Anolis sagrei: one gene and its partners. The protein of the gene in region 1 interacts with the protein of each later gene in a pairwise test. Links are inferred from orthologs where the notes say so. Each region holds a gene or a part of one and is shown in the gene's direction. Other genes may lie near its edges. The genes, in order: TRIM23, ARHGEF3, COX5B and TNFAIP3.

What was found.
Region 2: the proteins of TRIM23 (region 1) and ARHGEF3 interact in binary tests that used the Homo sapiens proteins (3 or more experiments, as listed by UniProt). The link is inferred for Anolis sagrei from reciprocal best matches to the Homo sapiens genes TRIM23 and ARHGEF3.
Region 3: the proteins of TRIM23 (region 1) and COX5B interact in binary tests that used the Homo sapiens proteins (3 or more experiments, as listed by UniProt). The two-hybrid records come from large-scale screens. The link is inferred for Anolis sagrei from reciprocal best matches to the Homo sapiens genes TRIM23 and COX5B.
Region 4: the proteins of TRIM23 (region 1) and TNFAIP3 interact in binary tests that used the Homo sapiens proteins (3 or more experiments, as listed by UniProt). The two-hybrid records come from large-scale screens. The link is inferred for Anolis sagrei from reciprocal best matches to the Homo sapiens genes TRIM23 and TNFAIP3.

The regions. Positions count from the first base shown.
Region 1 is NC_090022.1:268,041,839-268,049,089, forward strand, and holds the start of TRIM23 (E3 ubiquitin-protein ligase TRIM23), read left to right. Parts: upstream 1-4,245; 5' UTR 4,246-4,288; coding exon 4,289-4,420; intron 4,421-5,991; coding exon 5,992-6,154; intron 6,155-7,251. Other genes in the region: TRAPPC13 (trafficking protein particle complex subunit 13), read right to left, coding at 3,825-3,870.
Region 2 is NC_090022.1:58,067,920-58,074,842, forward strand, and holds the start of ARHGEF3 (rho guanine nucleotide exchange factor 3), read left to right. Parts: upstream 1-3,910; 5' UTR 3,911-4,239; coding exon 4,240-4,292; intron 4,293-6,923. UniProt on the Homo sapiens protein: Acts as a guanine nucleotide exchange factor (GEF) for RhoA and RhoB GTPases.
Region 3 is NC_090027.1:24,180,291-24,187,512, forward strand, and holds the start of COX5B (cytochrome c oxidase subunit 5B, mitochondrial), read left to right. Parts: upstream 1-4,222; 5' UTR 4,223-4,302; coding exon 4,303-4,420; intron 4,421-7,222. UniProt on the Homo sapiens protein: Component of the cytochrome c oxidase, the last enzyme in the mitochondrial electron transport chain which drives oxidative phosphorylation.
Region 4 is NC_090021.1:79,201,711-79,208,984, reverse strand, and holds the start of TNFAIP3 (tumor necrosis factor alpha-induced protein 3), read left to right. Parts: upstream 1-4,251; 5' UTR 4,252-4,350; intron 4,351-7,274. UniProt on the Homo sapiens protein: Ubiquitin-editing enzyme that contains both ubiquitin ligase and deubiquitinase activities.

The DNA.
Region 1 (7,251 bases):
TCTGAAAACAGTTGGCACCAAACATAAAGAATTGTGTTCATGACAGAGGAAGATACCTAACAGACCCTGTGGGAAAGGTGTGTGTAATTACATTTGTAGAGAGGAGCTATTCTTCCAGCACCAGCTGGTTGTGGAGTTATTAAGAAGGGCTACAAATTGCATTGTACAGATTAAGGGAATCCCTGTTTCAGAGGCAATGACATCCAAGTCTCAAGAGGAGTTTGGCCTTTTTTTCCAAGGCATCACAGTGGAAATAAAAATAAGGATTACTCATTTCAATTTTTTCCTTTTAGTTATTTCCAACATGGTAACCCTAAGGCACAGGTTTGCAGCTTGGGAGTTCTCCTGGACTCATAGCTGAGTTTGGATCCCCAGGTTTCGGGGGTAGCGAGGGGAGCATTTGCATAATTAAAACTTGTGTGCCATTTGTCCTCATACCTTGGGAAGTCAGTCTTGGACACGGTAGTCCACACTCTGGTTACATCCCGTATAGACTACTGCAACGCACTCTACTTGGGGTTGTCTTTGAAGACTGTTCAAAAGCTTCAAATGGTCCAACGGGTGGGAGCCAGATTGCTCACTGGAGCAGCGTACAGGGAGCATACAGCCCCTCTGTTATGTCAGCTCCACTGGCTGCCAGTCTGCTACCGAGCACAATTCAAAGTGCTGGCTTTAGCCTATAAAGCTTGAAATGGTTCCGGCCCAGCTTACCTGTTCGAACGTATCTTCCCCTATAAACCACCTCAGAGATTAAGATCGTCTGGGGAGGCCCTGCTCTCGGTTCCAACCCCTTTGCAGGTGTGACTGCTGGGGATGAGAGACAGGGCCTTCTCAGTGGTGGCCCCTTTGGTGTGGAATTCCCTCACCAGGGATATTAGATCAGCCCCCTCCCTCCATAAGACCTTCCATAAGAGAGTGCAAACGTGGCTCTGTGACCAAACCTTTGGAGAACTTGTGCAATAGAGAGATATGGAATGTTGTGCAATGAGTATTGGAACAGCCCAGATTACGCTTGAGGATTACGTTATTGTGAAGGTATTTCCATAAATGCAGGGTAGAAATGTCACAAATAAGCAAATAAATAAGGCAGTGGTTCTCAGCCTGTGGATCCCGAGGTGTTTTGGCCTACAATTCCCAGAAATTCCAGCCAGTTTACCAGCTGATTTTCGGGACCCACAGGTTGAGGGTCACTGCCCTATGGTGACCCAGGGCCCTTCCACACAGCCATATACATTATAATTTCCTCCTACGAACCTGTGCGATCTCTCCGATCTTGGGGGAGGCCCTCCTCTCTCTCCCGCCTCCATCACAGGCACGGCTTGTGGGGACGATGGAGAAGGCCTTCTCTGTGGTTGCCCCCCAGCTCTAGAACTTGCTCCCCAAGGAGATTAGACAGGCACCCACCCTGACAGTCTTTAGAAAAAGTTTAAAAACCTGGCTTTTCCTGTGTGCTTTTGGGGACTGAACTATCAATTTCCATGCCATGTCCTGTTCCAAGTCCAACTTGACTTTCTGATGCTCTTCATCTTATCTCTAAGTTGAAGATTAATTCTACTGTTATCCCGTTTGAGCCCCCTCACAAATTATAGCACTTTCTACCTACCCCACCTATGAGTTTTATCAATTTCTATCCACTTTTAGTCATGAGCCTCGCTCTCTTTTTCTAATTCTATTACCATTTTATCGTGTGTTTTTATTATGATTTTGTTATTTTCATTTTATTATGTTATTATTAAGTATTTTATTTGATGTTATTGTTTTGTTTATATGCATTTTGCTCTATTGTAATTTCATTTGGGCTTGGCCTCATGTTAGCTGCCTCGAGATGGTGGAGGGGTATAAATAAAGTTGATTATTATTATTATTATTATTATTATTTGAAACACAACAAGATGAGTCCACAGCAGACAAGATCTCTCTGCTGGCTGTTGTATTGGATCACATGTCAGACACTTCTAAATGGTGTATTTTAATATCTGATAAATGTTTTTTAATGTTTATGTATTGTATGTGAATTTGTGTCTCAGTATTGAATGTTTTCTGTGTATATGCTGTGCTTCGCCCTGAGTTCCCTTCGGGGTGAGGGCGGAATATAAATGTTTTACATAAATTGTCGAAGGCCTTCATGGCCAGAATCACTGGGTTGTTGTAGGTTTTTTTTCGTGCTATATGGTCATATTCTAGAGGCATTCTCTCCTGACGTTTCACCTGCATCTATGGAGCCCCCGGTGGCGCAGTGGATTAAAGCACTGTGCCGGCAGGACTGAAGACGACAGGTCACAGGTTCGAATCCAGAGAGAGGCAGATGAGCTCCTTCTATTAGCTCCAGCTCCTCATGCGGGGACATGAGAGAAGCCTCCCACAAGGATGATAAAACATCAAAAATCATCCAGGTGTCCCCTGGGCAACATCCTTGCAGACGGCCAATTCTCTCACAACAGGAGCGGTTGCTCCTGACATGACAAAAACAAAACAAAACACCTGCATCTATGGCAAGCATCCTCAGAGGTAGTGAGGTCTGTTGGAAGTAGGAAAATGGGTTTATATATCTGTGGAATATATTTGTTTTATGTGTGTGTGTGTGTGTGTGTATTTCTATATATATATATATATATATATATATATATATATCCCACCCTAGTCTTTCCACAGATATATAAACCCGTCTAGAACAGGGGTCCACAAACTTTTTAAACAGAGGGCCAGGTCACAGTCCCTCAAACAGTTGGAGGGCCGGATTATAATTTGAAAAAAAAACATGAATGAAAATCCAACAAATGCTACGTTCAGCAAAGGACAAGAGGGATCCTCTCACCTCGGCAGGAGTCTACCGTATACCATGCAGCTGTGGACAAGTCTACATAGGGACCACCAAACGCAGCATTGCCCAGACACGAATCATGGAACATGAAAGGCACTGCAGACTACTTCAACCAGAGAAGTCAGCCATAGCAGAGCACCTGATGAACCAGCCTGGACACAGCATATTATTTGAGAACACAGAAATGCTGGACCACTCCAACAACCACCATGTCAGACTACACAGAGAAGCCATTGAAATCCACAAGCATGTGGACAATTTCAACAGAAAGGAGGAGACCATGAAAATGAACAAAATCTGGCTACCAGTATTAAAAAACTCTAAAATTGCAACAGCAAAACAGCAGAGAGGAAACAACCAGGCACATCTTAACACCTCTCAACAGAACATTTTCCCAGGCTCAGCCAGGCCTTCAAATGCTAATGAAGGTGGTCAGCTGAAACATTCACACCTAGCTCCAGCAGAGAAGAGCTCTTTGCCCCACCCCAGTCATTCCACAGATATATAAACCCATTTTCCTACTTCCAACAGACCTCACTACCTCTGAGGATGCTTGCCATAGATGCAGGCGAAACGTCAGGAGAAATGCCTCTAGAACAGTGGTTCTCAACCTGGGGTCCCCAGATGTTTTTGGCCTTCAACTCCCAGAAATCCCGGCTAGTTTACCAGCTGTTAGGATTTCTGGGAGTTGTAGGCCAAAAACATCTGGGGACCCCAGGTTGAGAACCACTGCTCTAGAACATGGCCATATAGCCCGAAAAAACCTACAAGAACCTCATGAATGAATTCCTATGCACACTGCACATATCTTATTTGTAGTGCAAAAACACTTTAAAACAATACAATAATTAAAATCAAGAACAATTATAATAAACATAAGCTTATTAGTATTTCAATGGGAAGCGTGGGCTTGCTTTTGGCTGATGAGATAGGATTGAAGGCCTCGGGCCTCCACTTCAGAGCCTCCATGAAGTGAAGGGAAAGCGAGCCAGGCTGGACATACCTTTCAAGGCCAGGAGATGCTCCTGCTTGGGCTGGGTGACATCCATGGCCTCAGCCTCGCCACTTCGGGGCCTCCTCCTTTAGACGCACAAAATCCCTCCAGCTTCTGCCGGAAGCACTTCCCCTTTTCTCCCGCCTCCACCACACAACGAAATGAACCCTCTCTGCCTTTGGCCCACTCTCTGTTCGCCCTAGCGTTGGGAACTACATCCCCCAGAATGCCCTTCGGGTAGGCGTGCTGAGCTTCCTCCAAGCTGTCAAGGCAAAGCATGATGGTAGCTGTAGTCTTTCGCGACTGGGAAGGAGCATGAAGCGTGACGTCGAAGGAGACATGCGCAGTGCAATAGGAAACCAAATCTTCGGCGGTTCTCATTGGTGTGACGTCAGCGCGCAGACCCTCCCCGCTGTTTCCAGGGAAACTACGCTGTGGGCGGAGAAAGAGCGGGGAGCGAGCGGAGTGGGCGGATGCTGCTGCTGCTCGGGCTTTCTCCTTCCCTTTCCAAGATGGCGGCGCTGAGTGTAAACAAGGTCGGGGCTGGCGCAGGGATAGATGCCGGGAGCAGGCCGGGACGGAGCCCGGGCGGCCCGGTAGTGAAGGTGAGGAGAGCGGGAGAGGCCCGGGAGGCTTTCCTTCGAGGCTCGCCGCCTTTGGGGGTGGGAAAGGCCATGAAACCCTTCGGCTGTAGAGAAGGCCGCAAATATTTCTGCAGTAGGATGTGATCCTTCTGTGGATCGATTATCTGGTCGACTGTGGGTGCATCTACACTTTCATATTAATGCAGTTTTGACACCACTTTAACTGCCATTGCTCAATGCTGTGGGATCCTGGGTGTTGTAGTTTTGCAAGGCCTTGTCTGTCAAAGAGAGTAGGTGCCTCAACAAACTACAAAGCACAGGATTGCTATAGCATCTTTGAGCCCCTCCAGACAGCCATATAACCCAGAATATCAAGAGAGATGATCCCACAATATCTGCTTTGAACTGGGCTGTCAAGAGTCCGCACTGCCATATAACCCAGTTCAAAGCAGATAATGTGGGGTTTTATAAAGCTGTGTGGAAGGGGCCAGAGTCAGCAGCTAAAATGCGGTCAAACTGCATTAATTCTGCAGTGTAATCTATATAAATAAAAATGTAATGTTCGGGTTGTTGTAGGTTTTTTCAGGCTATATGGCCATGGTCTAGAGGCATTCTCTCCTGACGTTTCGCCTGCATCTGTGGCAAGCATCCTCAGAAGTAGTGAGGTCTGTTGGAACTAGGAAAAAAACAGACCTCACTACCTCTGAGGATGCTTGCCATAGATGCAGGCGAAACGTCAGGAGAGAATGCCTCTAGACCATGGCCATATAGCCTGAAAAAACCCACAACAACAGTGATTCTGGCATTGAAAGCCTTCGACAATACAATGTAATGTTTGTTTGTGGGATTAACATAACTCAAAAACCACTGGACGAATTGACACCAAATTTAGACACAAGACACCTCTCAGGCCAACGAGTGACCATCACTCAGAAAAACACTGGAAAACACAGTAGAAGGGTCTTAAAAGCCACAAACAAAAAATACATTGCAACACGTGCAAAACCACATATATACCGCAAACACACGTATATACACATATACAAATAGATACACACATATGCACATATATACACACACAAAACACATATACACAGACTGGGCCACAGCAACACATGGCAGGGGACGGCTAGTAATAATAATAAACTTTATTTATACCCTGCCACATTATGTTGACTTTTGTATTGGTTGAAATTAAACATAGTCAGTTAATGAAACCTCTGTGAGTGAGGCTCCTGTATAGAAATTATTTTTATTCTGCCTTGAATTTCATGATGGCAGAAAGGCAGAATCTAAATAAAGTAAATGTCCACCCAGGCCCTCTTTTCCTCCATGAATCTGGCATATTTGCAGCAGCACTAGAGGATGGCTGAGGAAACACACTTTAGATACTACGTTACAGCAGTTGATCTACAGTAAAAAAATAAAATCTGTAATAAAACCTGAGCTGAGAAAGAATGGGATTCTGCTTTAGGGTATTCTTTCTCTATTATTTCTACCTCTGGTATCAAACTTTCTGTTAAAGAGGAAATGCCTAGTAACACACCTACTTTGTTAACTGAGGTATGTCTGTACTCCTTTGTAACTTTTAGGTTCTGGAATGTGGAGTCTGTGAAGACGTATTCTCATTACAAGGAGACAAAGTTCCTAGACTGCTTCTGTGTGGCCACACTGTTTGTCATGACTGCCTCACTCGACTTCCTCTCCATGGCAGAGCAGTTCGATGTCCTTTTGATCGGCAGGTTACTGAGCTAGGTAAGATACAGAAATAGTAATAACATTAACATTGAAATAATCATATTGTGGCACCAAAATTCTGAAATTTAGTCAATAAAAGCATAATTATATTTAAGCTTTATTCATATAGCTTTTGTGCGTTGTATTGTTCTAGACAAAGACATATGTAAATTATATTAGAACATTGTAATTGTAATTAAGTTTTTATTTTAGTAGTGCAAGCGTAGCTTTAGAAACAAACCCATATTGGTTGGAAGGTAACTCAAACATTTTGACTGTGCCATTCAAAAATAGTAGCCCTTCTCTGTGCTACAAAAGTTGTGGAAAATTTTACAAATTAGTGAAATGTAACCTTGGAGATTGTCAGAGTTCTATGGCATTGAATTAATTGGCAAATATTCTCAGAATTGGGCTATTTATTTATCATGTCAGGAGCGAACCAAACAGTTGTATTGTATTTAAAAAACACACAGAGAGGATTTGCAAACTCTATTAAATGTCCTTTGACCAGTACCTGGCCACCTGGAGTGCCTCCGGCGCTGCCACAAAAAGGTCCTCCATTGTGCATGCGGCAGGGCTCAGGTCGCACTGTAGTAGGTGGTCTGTGGTTTGCTCCTCTCCACACTTGCATGTTGTGGATTCCACTTTGTAGCCCCATTTCTTAAGGTTGGCTCTGCATCTCAATGTTCAGTGCCTTCCAAGTCACGCAGTTTTCTGTGTGGCAGGGGGAGTCTCTCATTTGCTATCAGCCATTGATTGAGGTTCTGGGTTTGGGCTGGCCTTTGGTAAGTGTGGTTGGATAAGCTTTAAAATTAAACCCAGGATGTAAAAGTTACTGAGTCCAGCAAGGGATTTTTCTCCGTAGTCAGCTTAACTAGACACGAAAGCTTTGTTTCTTTGAGCATGTTCCATAGCTCACTAAGCTATTTCAACTGCATATTTTTAAATAAATTTCTAGCTTTGTAAAGAAAGCACCTATGGTCAAAACATAGCCTGCTGTTCATGATAATGCAATATCACTGGTGGCAGAATTAGATTAGGAGAAATATGATATAAATGAGGTTGTGTTTCTTATGGAAGGGGAGCTTAATCATATTTTCTGTAATGCAGTCTGT
Region 2 (6,923 bases), about 210 Mb from region 1:
TGGTGGCTCCGTGATATGATATAATTCAAATACTACTTTGTGCACTGATATCGTGAGTGCTATTTATATTTTAAAGGGGATCAAATAAAACAGGACAAGAATGTAGAATATGTTACATTAAATGACACTAACTACTCCGCTGAGGAAATTACTTCTTTGTTCATATTAAATAGACATATCATGGTGTGCTACAAATTGAAGAAATGTTAAGAGGCAATATTCTAACTGGAACATGCCTGCTATGAAATGTATATCGGATTTGTGAGTTTAATTTGAGTTTATTTTAATAAAGCCATAAACAAATTATAGTGCCATAAACAAATTATAGTGCCAGACTTTCTCTGGACTTTCTCTGGAAAGCCTGGTTGCAGTAGAACAGGTGTATAGCCAATGAATGCGGTTAAACTCCTGGTCGCTGGTATTTTATAAAGGAAAAATGTTTTTAAGATGCTTTTAGGTTGGTAAATTATATGTTGAAGACATGTGGTACTTGATTTTGGGAAGGTGATGGACTAGATGTTTTCATCGACAGTCAGCCTTCCATATTCATGGGTTTGATGTATTGTTGAAGGATTTCATGGCTGGAATCACTGGGATGCTGTGAGTTTTCCAGGCTGTATGGCCATGTTCCAGAAGCATGCCTTCCTGACATTTTGCCCACATTGATGGCAGGCATACTCAAAAGTTAAAGGGCCTGTTGGAAACTAGGCAAGTGAGGTTTATATATCTGTGGAATGTCCAGGGGAGGTGAAAGAGCTCTTGTCTGCTTGAGGCAAGTGTTAATGTTGCAGTTGGCCACCTTGATTGGCACTGAATTACAACTGTACCTTCGGTTCGCTTCTGATACGATACATATTAACATTGAATTAGCATTCATGGATTTGGTTAATATATTATCTCTAGGAATTTATGTCCTAGAGAACGCTTCTCTATGCATTTAGAAGACCTCCAGCAATGGCCCCTGCCTATAGTTTCACTGGAGGACCTAGATACTCTTATTAGGGCGTTTTCTCACAACCATATAACCAGAATATCAAGACAGAATAACCCACAATATCTACTTTGAACTGAGTTATCCGAGTCTACACTGCCATACAGTATTTCAAAGTTCAAGGCAGATAATGTGGGATTTTATTCAGCTGTGTGGAAGGGGTCTTAGAGAACTACTTGCTGTGGTGAAAAGAAATTGTTGTTGTTGTTGTTCATTCGTTCAGTCGTCTCCGACTCTTCGTGACCTCATGGACCAGCCTACGCCAGAGCTCCCTGTCGGCCGTTACCACCCCCAGCTCCCTCAAGGTCAGTCCAGTCACTTCAAGGATGCCATCCATCCATCTTGCCCTTGGTCGGCCCCTCTTCCTTTAAAAATTGTTTGTTTTCTTCTTTTGTTGGGGTCCTAATCCCAGTAAATCTGGAGGGGTAAGCTGTAGTAAGGCAGATTCTTGGGGAATCTATGGAATTTGTTTCCAGGTCACCTGTTTAAAATCAGTGTGGCTACTTTCCCATTAAAATCTATTTTAAGATCATGGGTTGAAATGATGCTACTCTCTAGAAGTGTCAGGCTGCACCTTCCATTAGTCCTAACCAGCATAGCGGATAATGGAAAATGCTGGGAGTTGTAATGCAATATCTGAGAAGTTGGATGGCTCCCAAACCCTTAACATTAAGCAATTAGATCAATTTTCTGGGGACTCAACACTCCCCCCCCCCCCCCCCCCCAGTGTTATGTTGCTGTGTTCTAGATCTGACACTAATGGAGAGCCAAAGTGGAATCAAGTTTCAATACTTCTACAGTGGAGATCAGGCATGGGCAAACTTTGGCCCTCCAAGTGTTCCTGAATTGTGGGAGTTGAAGTCCCAAACACCTGGAGTGCCAAAGTTTGCCTGTGCCTATGTAGATACACCTTTAGATTGAATGCAACTCTCTGTGTGAAGAGCTGGAGCCTCAGATTTGCCACTTGCTTTAAAAAGAAAGAAAGTACAATGTGTTGTCGAAGGCTTTCATCGCTGGTTTGCTGTGAGTTTTCCGAGCTGTATGGCCATGTTCCAGACGTATTTTCTCCTGACGTCCACATCTAAGGCAGGCACCCTCAGAGGTTGCGAGATCTGTTGGAAACTAGGCAAGCGAGGAGCTGAACTGTTGACCTTGCTAACCAAAAGTTCACAAGTTTGAATATGGGGAGCGGCGTGCGCTACCCCTGTTAGCCCCAGCTTCTGCCAACCTAGCAGTTTGAAAACATGCAGATTTGAGTAGATCAATAGGTACCGATCCAGCGGGAAGGTAACAACGCTCCATGCTGTCATGTGGTCCACATGACCTTGGACAACGCCAGCTCTTCGGCTTAGAAATGGAGATGAGCACCAACCCGCAGAGTCAGACACGACTGGGCTTAATGTCAGGGGAAAACCTTTATCTTTACCTATGCAAGTGAAGTTTATATATCTGAGGAATGTCCAGGGTGGGAGAAAGAACTTTTGTCTGTTGAAGGTAAGTGTGAATGTTGCAATTGGCCAGCTTGATTATCACTGAATGGTCTTGCAGCTTCAATGCCTGACTACTTCCTGCTTGGGGGAACCCTTTGTTGGGAGGTGTTAGCTGGCCCTGATTGATTCTTATCTGGAATTCTCCTGTTTTCAGAGTATTGTTTTTTTATTTACTGTCCTGATTTTAGAGGGTTTTTAAAATATCGGTAGCCAGATTATGTTCATTTTCATTGTTTCCTCTTTTCTCTTGAAATTGTCCACATGCTTGTGGATTTCCATTGCATCTCCTTGTAGTTTGACGTGGTGGTTGCCATTCCACAGATCAATAAACCTCACTAGCCGAGTTTCCTTTTCCGACAGACCTCACAACCTCGGAGGATGCCTGCCAGAGATATGGGCGAAACGTCACGAGAGAATGCTTCTGGAACGTGGCCATACAGCCCGGAAAACTCACAGCAACCCAAAGAAGGTACAGTTGCATAGATCCCCTCAGCTCCAGGGCATGGTGGGAAATGCCCTGGCCTTGCATGGGGCGGCGCAATACAAAGGCGGCGTGGTCCAGCCCCCTTCCCCTTCTCTCTCCTGATGGGCCTCAACCAGGGAAGCCCCTCTTTGGGGAAGGCGGGAGGCAGGACTTCCGGGATGGCGGAGACCCCGGCGCCTCCTCCTCTTTCCCAGAAACCAAACACTGACACGTAGTAGCTGTTCCGAGTAGCACAGATTTCCCCACAAGGGCATCTTTCTCTCTCTCAGGCCAAGAAAAGCGCAACAAGTGCGCTCAGGCGCCAAAAAAAACCCAAAACAAAACACACAAACAAAATACCCAAACTGTTGGGTGCCAAACGCCCTTGTTAACGTCAGGAGAAAATGCTTCTGGAACATGGCCATACAACCCTCACAACCTCTGAGGATGCCTGCCATAGATGCAGGCGAAACGTCAGGAGAGAATGCTTCTTGGACATGGTCATACAGCCCTCACAACCTCTGAGGATGCCTGCCATAGATGCAGGCGAAATGTCAGGAGAGAATGCTTCTGGGACATAGCCATACAGCCCTCACAACCTCTGAGGATGCCTGTAATAGATGCAGGCGAAATGTCAGGAGAGACTGCTAGAACATGGCCATACAGCCCTCACAACCTCTGAGGATGCCTGTAATAGATACAGACGAAATACCAGGTGAGAATGCTTCTGTAAGATGGCCATACAGCCCAAAAAACCTACAACACCCCAGTGATTCCGTCCATGAAAGCCTTCGACAATACACAGCCCGAAAAACTGACAGCAACCCATCCCTTGGAGCCGTATTCAGGGCGCATGATCCAGTGTGTTAGCCTTGCCCTGCTGAAGGGTGCTGCTGGTGCCTCCGCCAAGCTCTACCTCCCTGAGATATTGAGATAGTATTGAGCCAGGGCGGTGAAAGTGGCGTCCAGGGGCGTTCGTGCCTCCACGGGAGTGGGGTGTTCCCTCTCCTCGCCGCGGGTGTCTCAGCTGGAAAGGCTCCCACGGGCGGCCGTTTTCCCCGAGGCGGCCGCCCAGAGTTTTTCAAACAGGAGAGAAGCGGAGCCAAGGGGAGGAGCCTTGCTCCGGAGCAGAAGAGGCAGAAGCAGCAGCAGCGGCAGCATTGGACGGGGAGGTGCCGCGCTTGAGCCCCACTTGCCCTCCTCTTTCCCTCCCGACCGGGCTCCGTCTCTCCTTCCAGGGCTGGAGGGAAAGGGGCCCCGCGGCTCCCCACAGCGCCCACCCTCCCGCAGCTCCCATGCAGGGCGAGGAGGAGGAGGAGGAGGAGGAGGAAGCAGCACGACGCCGCAGGTAAGGCAGCCTTCGCCAGCTGAAGCCCTCCCCCTTGGCAACAGCAGCACCCGCCGCCTCAGGCGCATTACTTGGGCACCGCTTTGGTGGCTCATGTGCCGGGGAAGCAGTTTGTAAACTCTGCCGCCTTCCCTTCCAAAAAAGGCTGGTGCCTCACCAAACTACAACTCCCAGGATTCCATTGCATGGAGCCTTGGCACTTCAAAGTAGTGTCAAATTGCATCCACTCTGCAGTGTAGATGCGCCCTTCGCTTTAGGACCGGGAAAGGACCAAACCATGGCTTCTTTGAGGTGGAATAATAATAATACTGTGTCACAAAAATTGGAAAATGGTCTGTTCCTGGTCTGAAAGTGTTATTTCCTGTTTAATTGTGCAGTACTTACTTTAGAAGAAGTTGTTATACTCCAGAAAGTTCGTTTTTGTGGCTGCCACAAATTATCTTGAATTGGATGACAGTGGTTCTCAACCTTCCTAATGCCGGGACCCCTTTATACAGTTCCTCATGTTGTGGTGACCCCCCAGCAGCAAAAATAATAACTCTGATTTTTGCTGCTGTTATGAATTGTCATGTAAATATCTGAAATGCAGGGTGTATTTTCATTCACTGGACCAAATTTGGCACAAATACCCGATATTCCAAATTTGATTACTAGTGGGGTTGGAGAGGGTTGAATTTTGTCATTTGGGAGTTGTAGTTGCTGGGATTTATAGTTCCACTACAATCATAGAGCATTCTGAACTCCACCCACAATGGAATCAAACCAAACTTGGCACATAGAATTCCCATGGCCAACAGGAAATACTAGGAGGGTTTGGTGGGCATTGACCTTGAGTTTTCGAGTTGTAGTGCACATCCAGAGAGCACTGTGGACTCAAATAATGATGGACCTGGACCAAACATGGCACGAATACTCAGTATGCTCAAATGTGAACACTGGTGGAGTTTGGGGGGAAATATATCATGACATTTGGGAGTTGTAGTTGTTGGGATTTATAGTTCACCTACCATCAAAGAGCATTCTGAACCCCACCAATGAGAGAATTGGGCCAAACTTCCCACACAGAACCCCATGACCAACAGAAAATACTATGTTTTCTGATAGTCTTTGGCGACCCCTCTGACACTCCCTTGTGACCCCCCAGGGGTCCTGACCCCCCCCCCCCGATTGAGAAACACTTCTTTATTTATTATTTATTTACGTATTTATTTCCTGCATTTCTATGCCGCCTTTCTCAGCCTGTAGGTGACTCAAGGCAGCTTACACTGGCACAATTCGATGCCACGACAATCATAAAACAAAATTAAAAATATTTAAACGCACATTATAAAAACCATATAAAAAGCATTAAAAACATATAAACACCAGTAACTTCTTATTAACTCATTTTTCCAAAGACATTGTCAAGCTTTAGGAGGTAGGTGATGGTGGATTCAACCCTGGCTTCCTTGAGGTTGAGTAATAATAATAATACTATGTAGCAAAATTTGGAAAAGTTTCTGTTCCTGGTTTGCAAGTGTTATTTCCTGTTTAATTGTGCAGTACTTATTTTGGAAGTAGTTGTTACACTCCAGAAACTTTGTTTTTGTGGCTGCCACAAACTATGTTGAATTGCTTGAGACTGGATGAGATATTCATTGAAAAACTATAGCAAAATGTGCTGCAGGATTTCCTGCCAAAACAAAAGTTTTTGCAGTTTAATAAACTTCTTCCATGTATTTATGATAGAACCAATTAGGAAATCATAGAATCATTGAGTTGGAAGAGACCTCATGGGCCATCCAGTCCAACCACCTGCCAAGAAGCAGGAAAATCACATTCAAAGCACCCCTGATAGATGGCCATCCAGCCTCTGCTTAAAAGCCTCCAAAGAAAGAGCCTCGTCCACCAAATGCCATTCATAACCCAGGAACAAAAATCAAGTTACATAGTGTAATAATAGCTTATTAAAAATGCTACCAGGACACTTAATTGTCTAGAGGAGGCATCATGGGGTACATCTACAGTGTAGGATTAATGCAGTTTGACACCACTTTAACAGGCATGGCTCAATGCTATGGAATCATGGAAGTTGTAGTTTTACCAGGCCTTTAGGCTACTCTGCCAAAGAGTGCCCCCAAACTAGAGCTCCTGTGATCCCATAGCATAGTCAAATAGCCCTCAAACTGCATTCGTTCTATAGATACACTCATGGTGTTCCCAGAAGGAAGCCATTGGGGAAAAATAGGAATACAGAGTAAATCAATTCCATCTGCAGATCACTTGGAAACTTGCCTTCCTTTTTTTCCTTCTGTGGTTTTCCCTAACATTTGTCCCCAGAAGGAAACTCCCTGTCACTGTTCAGCTGAGAACGTTTCCCACTTTCCCCTGCTGGTTGATTTCTGTGAAAGAGTGGGGGGGGGGGCGGGGGGGGGGGGAAGTGTTTTGGATGCAAAGGATGCCCCTCACAGGAAGGATGTAAGAGCCCTGATTTCCAAATGGGAGATGCTCATTGAAAGAAGCATCCAAGACACCCACACTGTGAATGGCCAACTGATGTAAATTACTGTCTCAGAGTAAACTCCATTAGTTGCCAATTGCTGGCATGGTTTCATGAACCACAACTACAGTTGTAACCAGTGAACACAATTA
Region 3 (7,222 bases), on another chromosome or scaffold:
CATCATCTTGGTTTTCTTGATATTTAACCGAAACCGAACTTTTGCAGTTTCTTCTTTCACTTTGGTTAGAAGGCTCTTTGGCTCCTTTTTGCTTTCGGCCATCAAAGTGGTGTCATCTGCATATCTAAGATTGTTAATGTTTCTTCCAGCAATTTTCACCCCAGCCTTGCATTTGTCAAGCCCGCATATCGCATGATGTGTTCTGCATACAAGTTGAATAGGTTGGGTGAGAGTATACAACCCTGCTGTATGCCTTCCCCAATCTTGAACCAGTCTGGTGTTCCATGGTCAGTTCTTACTGTTGCTACTTGGTCCTCATACAGATTCCTCAGGAGATGTGATTTGGTATGCCCAGACCACCAAGAGGGAAATACATTCAGACAAATAAGCTGGGCACCACCACCAGGAGTGATATTTGGCCATTGCTCTTCTCCCAAGAAGGAAGCGTCTCCTGATTTCCTGGCTGCAGACGGCACTTGCAGTTATCTTCGTGCCTAGAAATACAGTCTGTCACTGACTCCACATTTTCTCCCTCTATATGCCAGTTATCAATCACTCTGGTTGCCATTATATTGGTTTTCTTGATATTTAACTGAAACCAAGCTTTTGCAGTTTCTTCTTTTACTTTGGTTAGAAGGCTCCTTGGCTCCTTCTCGCGTTCAGCCATCAAAGTACTATCATCTGCATATCTAAAGTTGTTAATATTTCATCCAGCAAATTTTAACTCCAGCCTTGGATTCGTCAAGCCCTGCACGTCGCATGATGTGTTCTGCATACAGGTTGAATAGGTCGGGTGAGAGTATACAGCCCTGCCGTACTGCTTTCCCAATTGTGAACCAGGAGATATTTCACTCCCATTCATTAAACAAGAGGAGCCATTTCCGGGGCTTCTTCTCTTTCTGTTTCTGCCCCCTTCAAAGCAGAACTTCTTAATGAAAAGTTTGTGCCTGGTGACCATATCTATTGAAAAATGTAAATCAGTGGTTCCCAAACTTATTTGGCCTACCCCTCTGGAAATCAATTTTTTGAAATATTTTCTTCTTTCTTTTATGCTTTCACCGCCCCCTTACAATTATTCATCGCCCCCAAATGCACCTGTGGCCATTACCGCCCCCCTGGGTCACTGCAGCACCCACCAGGTGAAAAATGACAGGAACTTGAGGGGGGTTTGGGAGGAGGGGCTTTGTTGCATTTGCAGACAGAGGCCATCTTAACATTTGGCTCATTCGTTGAGAGAGCTATGAAGGCCTTGGGGATGAAAATTCAGGATAAATTGCAGGATTCCCTTGTAGGAATGAATTTGGGTGGGAGTTAGGCCTGATGAAGCCCACTTTTGAGGGAAATCTGGTTGACTGAAGCATACTGACACCAATAAGATAGAAAGGAGGAGTCAGAAACTCATCAGCTGCTCATCCAGACAAAAAGGAAAGCAGTCTCCCTTCTTCAACTTGGAGGAAGTCCTTACCTGGCTGCTCCAACGGCTCTCTAACTCCCACCTGTTTTGAAAATCAACAAAAAGAATGCATTCCTAAAGCAGCCAATCAGAAGCAGGGCACTAAAGCTGGCGACAGGGTGAGCCAATCAGTAACAAGATTCCCCCCTTATGCAAATACAATACATTTCCAGTTTTGAATATTGATGGACTGGATTTTCAAAATGTTCTCTCGATCCTCCAGTTCAGATCTATGGTTGGCTTCCAGCAAAAGTTGACAGTAAGGTCATGCTGGATGAATCGGAAAAGCCCCATCTACACTGCCCTATAATCCAGTTTATGAATCCAGGTTATCTGCTTTGAACTGGACGATACGGAAGTGTAGATCAAGGCTAAGTCTTCCAGTGCAATTCTATGGCCAGCTCCCAGAAGACATCCACTATAAACAATATACAGTATATTTAAAATGCTTTACTTTCATTGCAAGTTTCCTCAGCTCTATAATGAACTAAAGAGGACTTTTCTCCCGAAAAACACTATAGATTTATATTATCTATGCTACACCACTCTCTCTCTCTCTTTATATATATATATATATGTGTGTGTGTGTGTGTGTGTGTATTGTATATACTTAAGTATAAGCCTAGTTTTTCAGCCCTCTTTTTAGGCTGAAAAAGCTCCCCATGGCTTATACTCGAGTCAAGGTTATTTATTCTTTTACTCTTTTATTAGTATTATTTTTAAAACCCTATACCAGATATATCCTACCTTGTTCATGCCCAGCGTTTATTTTTTTAATTTTTAAACTATTACATTTTAAACTATTACATTCCTTTTTGTCCGGATCAGCAGCTGGTTTTTAAATCCTTGTGTGTTACTGTGTATTGGTTATTGTTTATATGTGATTAATATTAATTGTATTGTATTTATTGTTTTTGTTTATTGCATTTTGTTTTTATTGATGTGTTGTTGAGCTTGGCCTCATGTAAGCCGCTCTGAGTCCCTTGGGGAGATGGTGGCGGGGTATAAAGTTTTTATAATAATAATAATAATAATAATAATAATGGCAGTGACATCTCCAGCCCATCCCCTGTTTGGGTATCAGCCAGCATGTCAACAACAGAAACAGAAGAACGGCCTGCCTCAGGGGAGCGTGCTTGCTCCATCCATGTTCAACATCTACACAAATGACCAGCCACTGCCAGATGGGACACAGAGTTTCATCTATGCTGATGATCGTGCCATTACCACTCAAGCAGGGTGCTTTGAGATGGTTGAAAAGAAGCTCTCCAAAGCTCTAGGTGCTCTTACTGCCTATTACAGGGAAAACCAACTGATCCCTAATCCATCTAAAACACAGACATGCCCCTTTCACCTTAAGAACAGACAAGCATCCCGAGCTCTGAAGATCACCTGGGAAGGAATCCCACTGGAGCATTACAACACACCCAAATATCTGGGAGTCACTTTGGACCGTGCTCTGACCTACAAGAAGCACTGCCTGAACATCAAGCAAAAAGTGGGCGCTAGAAACATCATATGAAAGCTGACTGGCACAACCTGGGGATCACAACCAGACACAGTGAAGACATCTGCCCTTGCGCTATGCTACTCTGCTGCTGAGTATGCATGCCCAATGTGGAACACATCTCACCACGCTAAAACAGTGGATGTGGCTCTTAATGAGACATGCCACATTATCACAGGGTGTCTGCGCCCTACACCTCTGGAGAAATTACATTGCTTAGCCGGTATTGCACCACCTGACATCCGCCGGGAAGTAGCAGCCAATAGTGAAAGGACCAAGGTAGTGACATCTCCAGCTCATCCCCTGTTTGGGTATCAGCCAGCACGTCAACGACTTAAATCAAGAAATAGTTTTCTTAGATCTACAGAGACACTCGCTGGAACACCTCAGCAAGCGAGAGTCCAAAATGGGCAGGCTCCAACCCATCACTTCAATCCGTGGTTGATACCAGATGAGAGACTCCCTCCTGAGCACACAGAAGACTGGGCAACTTGGAAGGCGCTGAACAGACTGCGCTCTGGCACCACGAGATGCAGAGCCAACCTTAAGAAATGGGGCTACAAAGTGGAATCCACGACATGCGAGTGTGGAGAAGAGCAAACTACAGACCACCTGCTGCAATGCAACCTGAGCCCTGCCACATGCACAATGGAGGACCTTCTTGCGGCAACACCAGAGGCACTCCAAGTGGCCAGATACTGGTCAAAGGACATTTAATCAACTACCAAGCTTGCAAAATCTGTGGTTTTTGTTTTGTGTTTGTTTTGTTCTGTTAGGAATGTAATCCAATGGTCTAGTTGCTGATAAATAAATTATTATTATTATCATGATTATTATTATTATGATATTCTAGGAGCTCTAAAAGGGCCAGAGTTGCCTGAAGTTTATATTCTCATTCCAGGGAAGCCATACATGAAGTTCCTTTTCCCCTCAGCCTATAAGAATCCTATAAGAAGAGTGACAAAACATAGCCCAGGCCTAGCTTGTTCTCCAGACCCTTGATCATTTTAGTTGCCCTCTTCTGGACACATTCCAGCTTGTCAATATCTCTCTCCTTCCAACCAGGTAAATTCCTTCCCTTCCTCTCCACTCCACTCCAAAATGGCGCCTCCCTACTGACTGGAAAGAAAGGAAACTTCACTCCCAGGCCACGCCCACGAGGCAACGTGTCCAATGGGTGTGCAGCTTCGGCGGTTACGGCCACGCCCATTGAGCGGCGCGTCGGAGGGGTTGCTGTTGGACAACGGTTGGTTAAAACGGCGCCTGCGTGGGAGGAAGTCCCTCCCCCGGAAAGCGGAAACAGGCCTGTGGACAAGGCCTATTATAGCTCCTCGCGTTCCCCATGGCGTCAAGGTTACTCAGGGTCTGCGGCCTTTTCCAAGGGCTCGCCGCGGGCCGGAATGCCCTCCCTCTAGGGCCGCTGCGCCTGGCCGGAGCCTCTCGCTGCATGGGAGCCGGAGGTGAGGCTGGGTTAGGGCATTTTCACACAGACTTTGGCCAACTTGGGCCTTCCCTCCAGGTATTTTGAGCTTCAACCCCCGCAATCCCTAACAGCTCAGGCCCCTTCCTTTTCCCTCCTTTGCACTATTTGAAGCTTCTGAACCGTCTTAGAATCAAAGAGTTGGAAGAAACCTCATGGGCCATCCAGTCCAATCTCATTCTGCCAAGAAGCAGAAATATTGCATTCAAATCACCCCTGACAGATGGCCATCCAGCCTCTGTTTAGAAGCTTCCAAAGAAGGAGCCTCCACCACACTCCGGGGCAGAGAGTTCCACTGCTGAACGGCTCTCACAGTCAGGAAGTTCTTCCTCATGTTCAGATGGAATCTCCATTCTTGTAGTTTGAAGCCATTGTTTTGCGTCCTAGTCTCTAAGGAAGCAGAAAACAAGCTTGCTCCCTCCTCCCTGTGGCTTCCTCTCACATATTTATACATGGCTATCATGTCTCCTCTCAGCCTTCTCTTCTTCAGGCTACACATGCCCAGCTCCTTAAGCCGCTCCTCATAGGGCTTGTTCTCCAGACCCTTGATCATTTTAGTCGCCCTCCTCTGGACACATTCCAGCTTGTCAATATCTCTCTTCAATTGTGGTGCCCAGAATTGGACACAATATTCCAGGTGTGGTCTAACCAAGGCGGAATAGAGGGGGAGCATTACTTCCCTAGATCTAGATACTATGCTCCTATTGATGCAGGCCAAAATCCCATTGGCTTTTTTTGCCGCCACATCACATTGTTGGCTCATGTTTAACTTGTTGTCCAATATAAACGGAGCCCCCAGTGGTCTTTTTCACACGTACTGCTCTTAGGCAGCCCCACATAGAGTGCATTGCAGTAATCAATTCGAGATGTAACTAAGGCCTGGACCACCGTGGCCAAGTATGGCTTCACGAGGGTTTTTTTTGTTTGTTTGTTTTGTTGTGTCAGGAGTGACTTGAGAAACTGCAAGTCGCTTCTGGTGTGAGAGAATTGGCCGTCTGCAAGGACGTTGCCCAGGGGACGCCCGGATGATTTGATGTTTTTATCATCCTTGTGGGAGGCTTCTCTCATGTCCCTACATGAGGAGCTGGAGCTGATAGAGGGAGCTCATCCGCCTCTCCCCGGATTTGAACCTGCGACCTGTCGGTCTTCAATCCTGCCAGCACAGGTGTTTAACCCATTTCACCACCAGGGGCTCCATGGCTTCCCGAGGTACAGTTGATATACAAGCTTTTATTGTACACTGAGGTTTTTTTCAGTGATTTTACAAGTGATGGTCACTTGTTAGCCTGATACGTGTACTGTGCCCAAATTTGGTGTCAGTTGGTCCAGTGATTTTTGAGTTATGTTAATCCCACAAATGAACATTACATTTTTAATTATATAGATACTAGCTGTCCCCTGCCACGCGTTGCTGTGGCCCAGGCTGTTGATCTGGAAAATAAAGTAATTAGAAAGTGTTGGTTTCTAATATATGTAATTTCTTTATGCTTGTGGGTAAACAGTATTTCTTGCTGTTTCTTTGTCAGTGTTGATTTGGAGATTGTCTGGTTTGCCTGCTCTGGAACATGCAACATATCATTGTCCTTTTTAGGGGTCCTTTTCAAATCTATGGTACTATATCTCTCTCTATGTGAATCATATATATCTATCTATACCTATGGCTGGATGCCTCTTTGTCAGAAGGGCTTTGATTATGTTTTCTTGTCCTGATGAAGGGAGTTGGACTGGATGGCCTTAAGTATGAGGGTTCTGTGTGGGAAGTTTGCCCCAATTCTGTCGTTGGTAGGGTTCAGCGTGCGCTTTGATTGTACGTGAACTATAAATCCCAGTAACTACAACTCCCAAATGTCAAGGTCTATTTTCCTCAAACTCCATCTGTGTTCATATTTGGGCATATGGAATATTTGCGCCAAGTTTGGTCCATATCCATCATTGTATGAGTCCACAGTGCTCTCTGGATGTAGGTGAACTACAACTCCCAAACTCAAGGTCAATGCCCACCAAACCCTTCTAGTGTTTTCTGTTGGTCATGGGAGTTCTGTGTGCCACATTTGGTTCAATTCCATCATTGGTGGAGTTCAGAATGCTCTTTGATTGTAAATAAAGTACGTATAACACCCAGCGACTACAACTCCCAAATGACAAGATCAATTTTTGAGTTATGTTAATCCCACAAACGAACATTACATTTTTATTTATATAGATAGGCCCTCCTTGCATTCCAAAAAAAATTCTTAAGCCTTTGAGCAATACATATAGTGATTCGAATGTGACTGATGAGACTGGTAATGGACTGATCTTGGATCACGATTTTAAACTCAAGATATTTTAGAATTTTAAATCTTGGATGTTTATAATTGTTTTAATTGTTTTTTAATTAATTTCTTAATTTAATGTCCGGCATCTAGTGGTGGCCTATTGTAAACCACCCTGAGTCCACCCCTCGGGGGTGAAAAGGACGGAGTATAAATACATGAAATAAATACATGTGGGCTAGCCAAAACTATGGCTAGGTGGATCTGTAATTGGTTAAGTGAATGAACCCAGTGGGTGATTCTTCCCAGCGCTTCTTCTTCATTCTGGAAAGAAATGACGAGTGGCGTATCGCAGGTTTCCATCATGGACCTGGTTTTGTTCAACATCTTTATTAATGGCTTAGATCAGTGGTTCTCAATCTGTGGGTCCCCAAGTGTTTTGGCCTACAACTCCCAGAAATCCCAGCCAGTTTACCACCTGGGGATCCACAGGTTGAGAACCACTGACTTAGATTAGGGGTTAGAAA
Region 4 (7,274 bases), on another chromosome or scaffold:
TGAGTTCAGCTGCCTAATTCACCATAGCACTACTCACAGCTGTCTTCTGTTCTGTCTCAGTAGTTTGTTGAGTGCCTTCCAACCATATCCTATCAATTTCTGACATTATTTCTTGTTTAATTTTGCATTATTTCATCACTGGGTTTTCATAGTAACTTTAGAAGCAGTTTACCATGCCTCTTTCTGCATAGTACTATCAAGTGTTATCTATGGTGATTTCACTCCTATCTCGACCACTACAGTTTAACAATAATGTCTCACCTCTCATCAGTTGATAACTGACTTCATTTTTCATAGCCTGAAATATTTAAAATTGACAGAAATCTCAATTGTGCATTTCTGTAGCTACTGCATAGTTTGCATTCACACTATATACTTTTAAAACATGGGCATAACATTCAAGCATTAATTTAATGGAATATCCTTAACAAAGTTAATACAGTCCATAATATCCCAAGAGCAAAGATTTGCTGTGGGTGCAATATCTTGTCCCACCATAATATAATTACTTATTTAGCCCCTTATCTTGACCCTTCATTTTTTCTTTGTTAACGTTTTAACTATATGTTATCCAAATGTATCTCTCTTTATGAGCCAGGTAGAGCATTAAGATCGGTCCCGCAGCCCTCGCAGGTGCGACTGGTGGGGACGAGAGACAGGGCCTTCTCAGTAGTGGCCTTTCGGCTGTGGAACTCTCTCCCCCATGAGATTAGATTGGTCCCTCCCTCCTGATGTTAAGGAAACTACTCAAACAAGTTTTTCAAACAAGCATTCAGAGAATGAGATGATGTAGTCCAAGATATCTTGGGACTGGTGTAATGTTGAATGTCTTATGTTTTATGTTTGTTTACATCCAAAGTTTTATAGATTACTGATTTTAATCTATTGTTATTTGTTTTTAATAGTGTAATACATTTTATATTGTGAGGTTTTGAATTTTGCCATTTGCTTTGTTGTGAACCACTTTGAGTCCCCCTACAGATTGAGAAAAGTGGTATATAAATGAAACAAACAAATAAAATAAAATAAAATAAAATAAAATAAATAAATAAATACGATTGTGAGAGGGATTCCATCACAGGCATTAAATAAAATGCTGCATTGTGTACACGGCAAGTCCTAGCAGTATATTATACATTAAATATTTAAGAGCTAAGTTGTGTAACACAAACTTGACATCAAAAAATCACATTATTCTCCTTAAAACAAATAAAGCAAAATTATTTGGTGTACCTATGTACGGCGCTCCATGCAGTCATGCCAGCCACATGACCTTGGAGGTGTCTACGGACAACGCTGGCTCTTCGGCTTAGAAATGGAGATGAGCACCACACCCCAGAGTCAGACATGACTGGACTTAATGTCAGGGGACTACCTTTATCTTTACCTTTTATGCTTATTTTACATTTTCCTTCTGCTAGTAAGCCACAGGAATAGTCTTTACATTTATGTTTTATAGTATTGGTGGTTTAATCTTTGTTATATATATATATATGCTTTGTATAGTCCTTAGTTTTATTTGTGTATTTTAATTATGTTGTACAGCACCCCACCACGATCTGTAACAAATAACATTTGTTGTTGCCAAATAATTTTCCATTGCAATTCAGGATTCCTTTCCCACTTGACTAATAGCAACAATATGAAGAAAGAAAGAAAAATCTGATAATGATGTTTCTTGCATCACAGCTCTCTGATCATTTCCCATCAGATGCTTACATAAATTGGGAAGTACTATTTTGTTCTCCTTTTGGGACCCATGGCATTCTTGAAAAATAAGGACTCTGCCAATCCATTTCCTTCTGTGTTCTTTCTGGATCACATATATGACTGTTAGGAATTGTAGGAGTTAAAGTCCAAAACACCTGGCGGGCTGAAGTTTGCACATGTTTTATTTACACAATAGAATGACTACAGCTTGACACGACCTTAACTGCCCTGGCTCAATGCTATGGAATGATGGGAACTGTATTATACAAGGCCTTCAGCCTTCTCGGCCAAAGAGTAGTGGTGCTTCACCAAACTCCCTATTTTATTATTTTATTATTTTATTGTTTATACCCCATGTTTTTTCTCTATATGGAGACTCAAAGCGATCCATAATCCAAAACATTACAACTTAAAATATACAATAAAACAGCATATCATTATATATTATCAGTAGTCATTATATTTAACATATTCGTATATTTAATATATTAGTATTACTATATTACAATATTATTCTATACTATTATATTGTATTATTGGTATTATATTGTATTCCTTTATATTATTATCAATATTATAGGACTATACAATATATTATATTATTAGCATAGCACAATAGTAGTATTATACATTACTATATTGTACTATACCACTATACTGCAATATTATTAGTAATATTACATGTAATATATAATATACTTGTATTATATTATTATATATTATTATATTGTACTATATTACTATACCACTATATCTAATATTCTACCAGTTTATACTACTACTATACCACTATATCTAATATTATACCAGTATATAATACTATTGGTATTATATAATATATTGCACTATATCACAAGTTGTAGTATATATATTACAACATTATTAATATTATATATTTTAGTATTATTACATTACAATGTTATTATTTCTATATAGTATAGTATTGTATTGTATTGTATTGTATATATTGAGGGGGCTCCCAACTTCAAGCAGTCTTAAGCTGCATTCCTTCTACACTGTAGATCAGTGTTTCTCAACTTGGGGGTCGGGACTCCGGGGGGGGGGGGGGGGCGTCAAACACCATCAGAAAACACAGTATTTTCTTTTGGGTTCTGTGTGGGAAGTTTGACCCAATTCTATCATTGGTGGGGTTCAGAATGTTCTTTGATTGTAGGTGAACTAAATTCCAGTAACAACATCTCCCAAATATCAAGGTGGCACAGTGAGTTAAGCCGCTGAGCTGCTGAACTTGCTGATCGAAAGGTTGCAAGTTCTAATCCGGGCAGTGATGTGAGCTCCCGCTGCTAGCCCCAGCTTCTGCCAACCTAGCAATTTGAAAACATGCAAATGTGAGATCAATAGGTACTGCTCCAGCAGGAAGGTAATAATGCTCCATGTAGTCATCCTGGCTACATGACCTTGGAGGCGCCTACGGATAATGCTGGCTCTTTGGCTTAGAAATGAGCATCAACCTCTGGAGTTGGACACGACTGGACTTCGTATCAGGGAAAACCTTTGCCTATTTTCCCCAAACTCCAACAGTGTTTACATTTGGGCATATTGAGTATTTATGCCAAATCTGGTCCAGATGTATCATGGATTGAGTCCACAGTGCTCTACCTGGATGTAGGTGAATTACAATTCTAAAACTCAAGGTCAATGCCCACCAAACCCTTCCAGTATTTTCTGCTGCTCAAGGGAGTTCTGTGTGTCAAGTTTGGTTCAGTTCCATCGTTGGTGGAGTTCAGAATGCTCTCTGATTGCAGGTGAACTATAAATCCCAGTAACTACAACTCCCAAATATCAAGGTCTATTTTCCCCAAACTCCAACAGTGTTCACATTTGGGCATATCGCGCATTTGTGCCAAACTTGGTCCAGTGAATGAAAATACACCCTGCATATCAGATACTGACATTACGATCCAAAACAGTAGCAATATTACGATTATGAAGTAGCAACAAAAATAATGTTATGGTTGGGGGGTCACCACAACATGAGGAAGTGTATGAAGGGGTTAGGAAGATAATAGGAAGGTCGAGAACCAGTGCTGTAGATGCACTTGAAAAAAAACTCGGGCAAGAGCCACAGCTGAAGCAGGGAAGAATCACGGTGGGGATACCCCAGGGGAGAAACCCAGGCTGCCAAGCCAAGGAGGAGCGATGATGACGTCAGTGATGTTGATGATGATGATGATGATGCGAGGCAGTCGGAGTCACGTGCCGGCGGCAGCGGCGGAGGCTTCCGCGGGCCTGGCTTCTCGCACAGCAGCGCCACCTAGAGGCCGGCCACAGCGCCAGCAGCAGCAGCAGCAGCAGCGCCGGCAAAGGCCACCGCGAGTGTCACATGCCTCCCGCCGGAAAGTCCCTCGCTTGCCTCTCCGTGGCTCTGGAAATCCCCAGCCCTTTTTTTCCTGCACTGGGGTGAGGGAGGGGGCCCGCCTGGCTCACAGTCCGGCTTCTAGAGGAACAGGAGAGAGGCAGGGCAACCACACGGGAACCTACCTTCCTTCCTTCCTTCCCACCCGAGAAAGCGGATTAAGCCATGGCAGCCTAGCGCCGGAGAGGGTTTGCATCCAGAAGGATTGAGGAGGAGGAGGAGGAGGAGGAGGATTTCTCCAGCCCTCTCCAAGCTGACAACGAGTAAGTACTTCGCCTGGTTCTCTCTCTCTCTCTCAGTCCCTCTCCTTTCTTTCATCCCTCTCTCCCGCTCTTCCTTCCTTCCTTTCCTTCCTTCCTTCCTTTCTTCTTTCCTTTCTTTTTTCCTTCCTTCCTTTCCTTCCTTTCTTTTCTATCTTTCTTTCCTTCCTTCATTTCTTTACTTCCTTCCTTTCCTTCCTTCCTTCCTTCCTTCCTTTCCTTCCTTTCTTTCTTTCCTTTCTTTCTTCCCTTCCTCCCATCCTTCCTTCCTTTCCTTCCTTCTTTCCATCCTTCCTTCTGCTGCTCTTTGGACTTTGGGATTGTTTGGGGGTCCAGTAAGGACTCGCTTCGGGATGGATGGTGGTAAACAAGAAAAGGGTGCATCTTATTCTCCTGTAGATACTGTAGAATGAATGCAGTTTGATACCGCTTCAACTTCCCTGGCTATGGAATGCTGGGAGTTGTCGTTTGGTAAGGCATCAGCCTTCTTTGGCAGAGATCCTGTCAGACTCCCAATTCGGTAGCACTGAGCCATGGCACTTAAAGTAGTGTCAAACTGCTTAAATTCTACAGCGTAGAACAGGGGTCCTCAAACTTTTTAAAACAGAGGGCCAGGTCACAGTCCCTCAAACTGTTGGTGGGCAGGATTTCAATTTGGAAAAAAAAAAGAATGAATTCCAATGCACATTGCACATACCTTATTTGTAGTGCAAAAACACTTTAAAAGAATACAATAATTGTTACGAATAACAATTTAGACAAATATCAACCTATTAGTATTTCAATGGGAAGTGTGGGCCTGCTTTTGGCTGATGAGATAGGATTGTTGTTGTTGTTGTTGTTGTTGTTGTTGTTGTTGTTGTGTGCTTTCAAATTATTGTTGTGTGACTCTGAGTGAGGGCCGGGTAAATGACCTTGGAGGGCCATATCCGCCCCGGGCCTTAGTTTGGGGACCCCTGGTGTAGAAGATGGACTCAGAGGAGAGGAAAGTGCACCCAGTTGTGTTTCTGCTATCACCAGGAAAGTTAAAACAAAGGCTGATTGAGGGCCCTTCCACACAGTACTATAACCCAGAATATTAAGGCAGTAAATCCACACTCATCACAGAGAATGAATCCACTTTAAATCTGGTTTCTGCCTCCTGCAGAATTCTGGGGTTTGCAGTTTAGTGAGGCTGTTTAAGTCTCCTCCCTAAACTACAAACCCCAGAATTCTGCAGGACACAGACACCAGATTTAAAGTAGATTCATTCTCTTGTTTGATGAAGTTAAGTGTTGAACTGCCAGTGTGGAAGGGCCCTTAGCCCCCCTTCTTCAAAATACTACTCCAAAATCTGAAATAGCCCACCTGAATGTTTGAGAGAGTCACACCTCTGCTTTCTGATGGTTCACTTTGCCAAACTTTGTTTCATGCAACATATTTTAAAAATACTTTTGTGCATCAGGTTATTATAAGGTATGATTAAGACATACGATTTCCTGTTTATACTTGGATGCCAGCTCCAAGGTTACCTATGTATTTGGAAATATAGAAATTCCAAAATCTGAAAGCATGCCTTTCCTCTTCTTTATTTGTACCAATCCATGCAAGTTTTCTAATCACTTGAAGCCCCTAATCAGGAATAAAGGAAATGTGGCTGATTATTTATTTATTTACGGTGTTTGTATACCACCCTTCCCAAGCCTGAAGAGCACTCAGAGCAGTTCACAGGGCAATTATCCCCAACCCAAGATTTGGCCATGGATATTATGATGTGTTGTCCAAGGCTTTCATGGCTGGAATCACTGTGTTGTGCTTCTTCCAGGCTGTATAACCTTGTTCCAGAAGCATTCTCTCCTAACATTTCACCCTTATCTGTGGCAGGCATCCTCAGAGGTTGTGAGACGTCTGAGGATGTCTGCCATAGATGCGGGTGAAACATCAGGAGAGAGTGCTTCTGGAGCATGGACATATAGCCTGGAAAACTCATAGCAACTCAGAAATGATGGCTCCACAGGATTATTTTTAAAGAAAGGAGGATTGTTTTTTAACCAATGTTAAAAGAAGTGGAAGGTGACCAGAGAGAAGAAGCAAAAAGGAAAATACTAGTTGTCTTTGCTTCCCATCATGTGCTGAGAAACAATTATTTATTACCCTTAAGAGTTTGGTTGTTGTTCATTCGTTCAGTCGTCTCCGACTCTTCGTGACCTCATGGACCAGCCCACGCCAGAGCTCCCTGTCGGCCGTCACCACCCCCAGCTCCTTCAAAGTCAGTTGTAAGAGTTTGGTACAAAATAGTAAATAAATTCTGGGATTGTAGGCTGGGAACAACAAAAACCTAGTAACAAGCAGGTAATACTTGTTTGTGGCATTGAGTTACATAACAACATGACAGCTCATACATAAGTATTTATCCCATTTTAAAAAACAAGGATTTGCATGAGATGCATGGACGTTGTGCTGTGTCATATGTGATACTGACATTTTAAAGATCCAATGGTTCTTTTAATTTTAATTATTATTCGCTTTCTCATAGTTTCATAATTATCAATATTGTGGTAACATGAACAAGTGATCTTAAACAGACTTACAAGGCAGTAAATCCATTAAATTCAGTGTGACTTTTGGGTAAACAGGCATAAAATGATATTGTCAGGTATTAGGTTGCTTAAAGCAGTCGCTAATTTCTCAGACTCCAATTGGTTATTTTTTTAATCCTCAAGATTTATTTTCACAATTTTTCCACCTTTGCTTAAGAGATGTGACATTGTAATCCATGTTATACTTCAGGATCTGCACCAGTGAGTTTAGTAGTAGGGCTAGTACTAGACACTAGACTTTTTCTAGTAAAGCACCAGCTCCACCTCCTTAGGTTAAGGCACCTATTATCCAAAACCAGTCTTGTAGTTTTAGCACCTGGAGCAAAACAAACCCTACAAGTATCTATT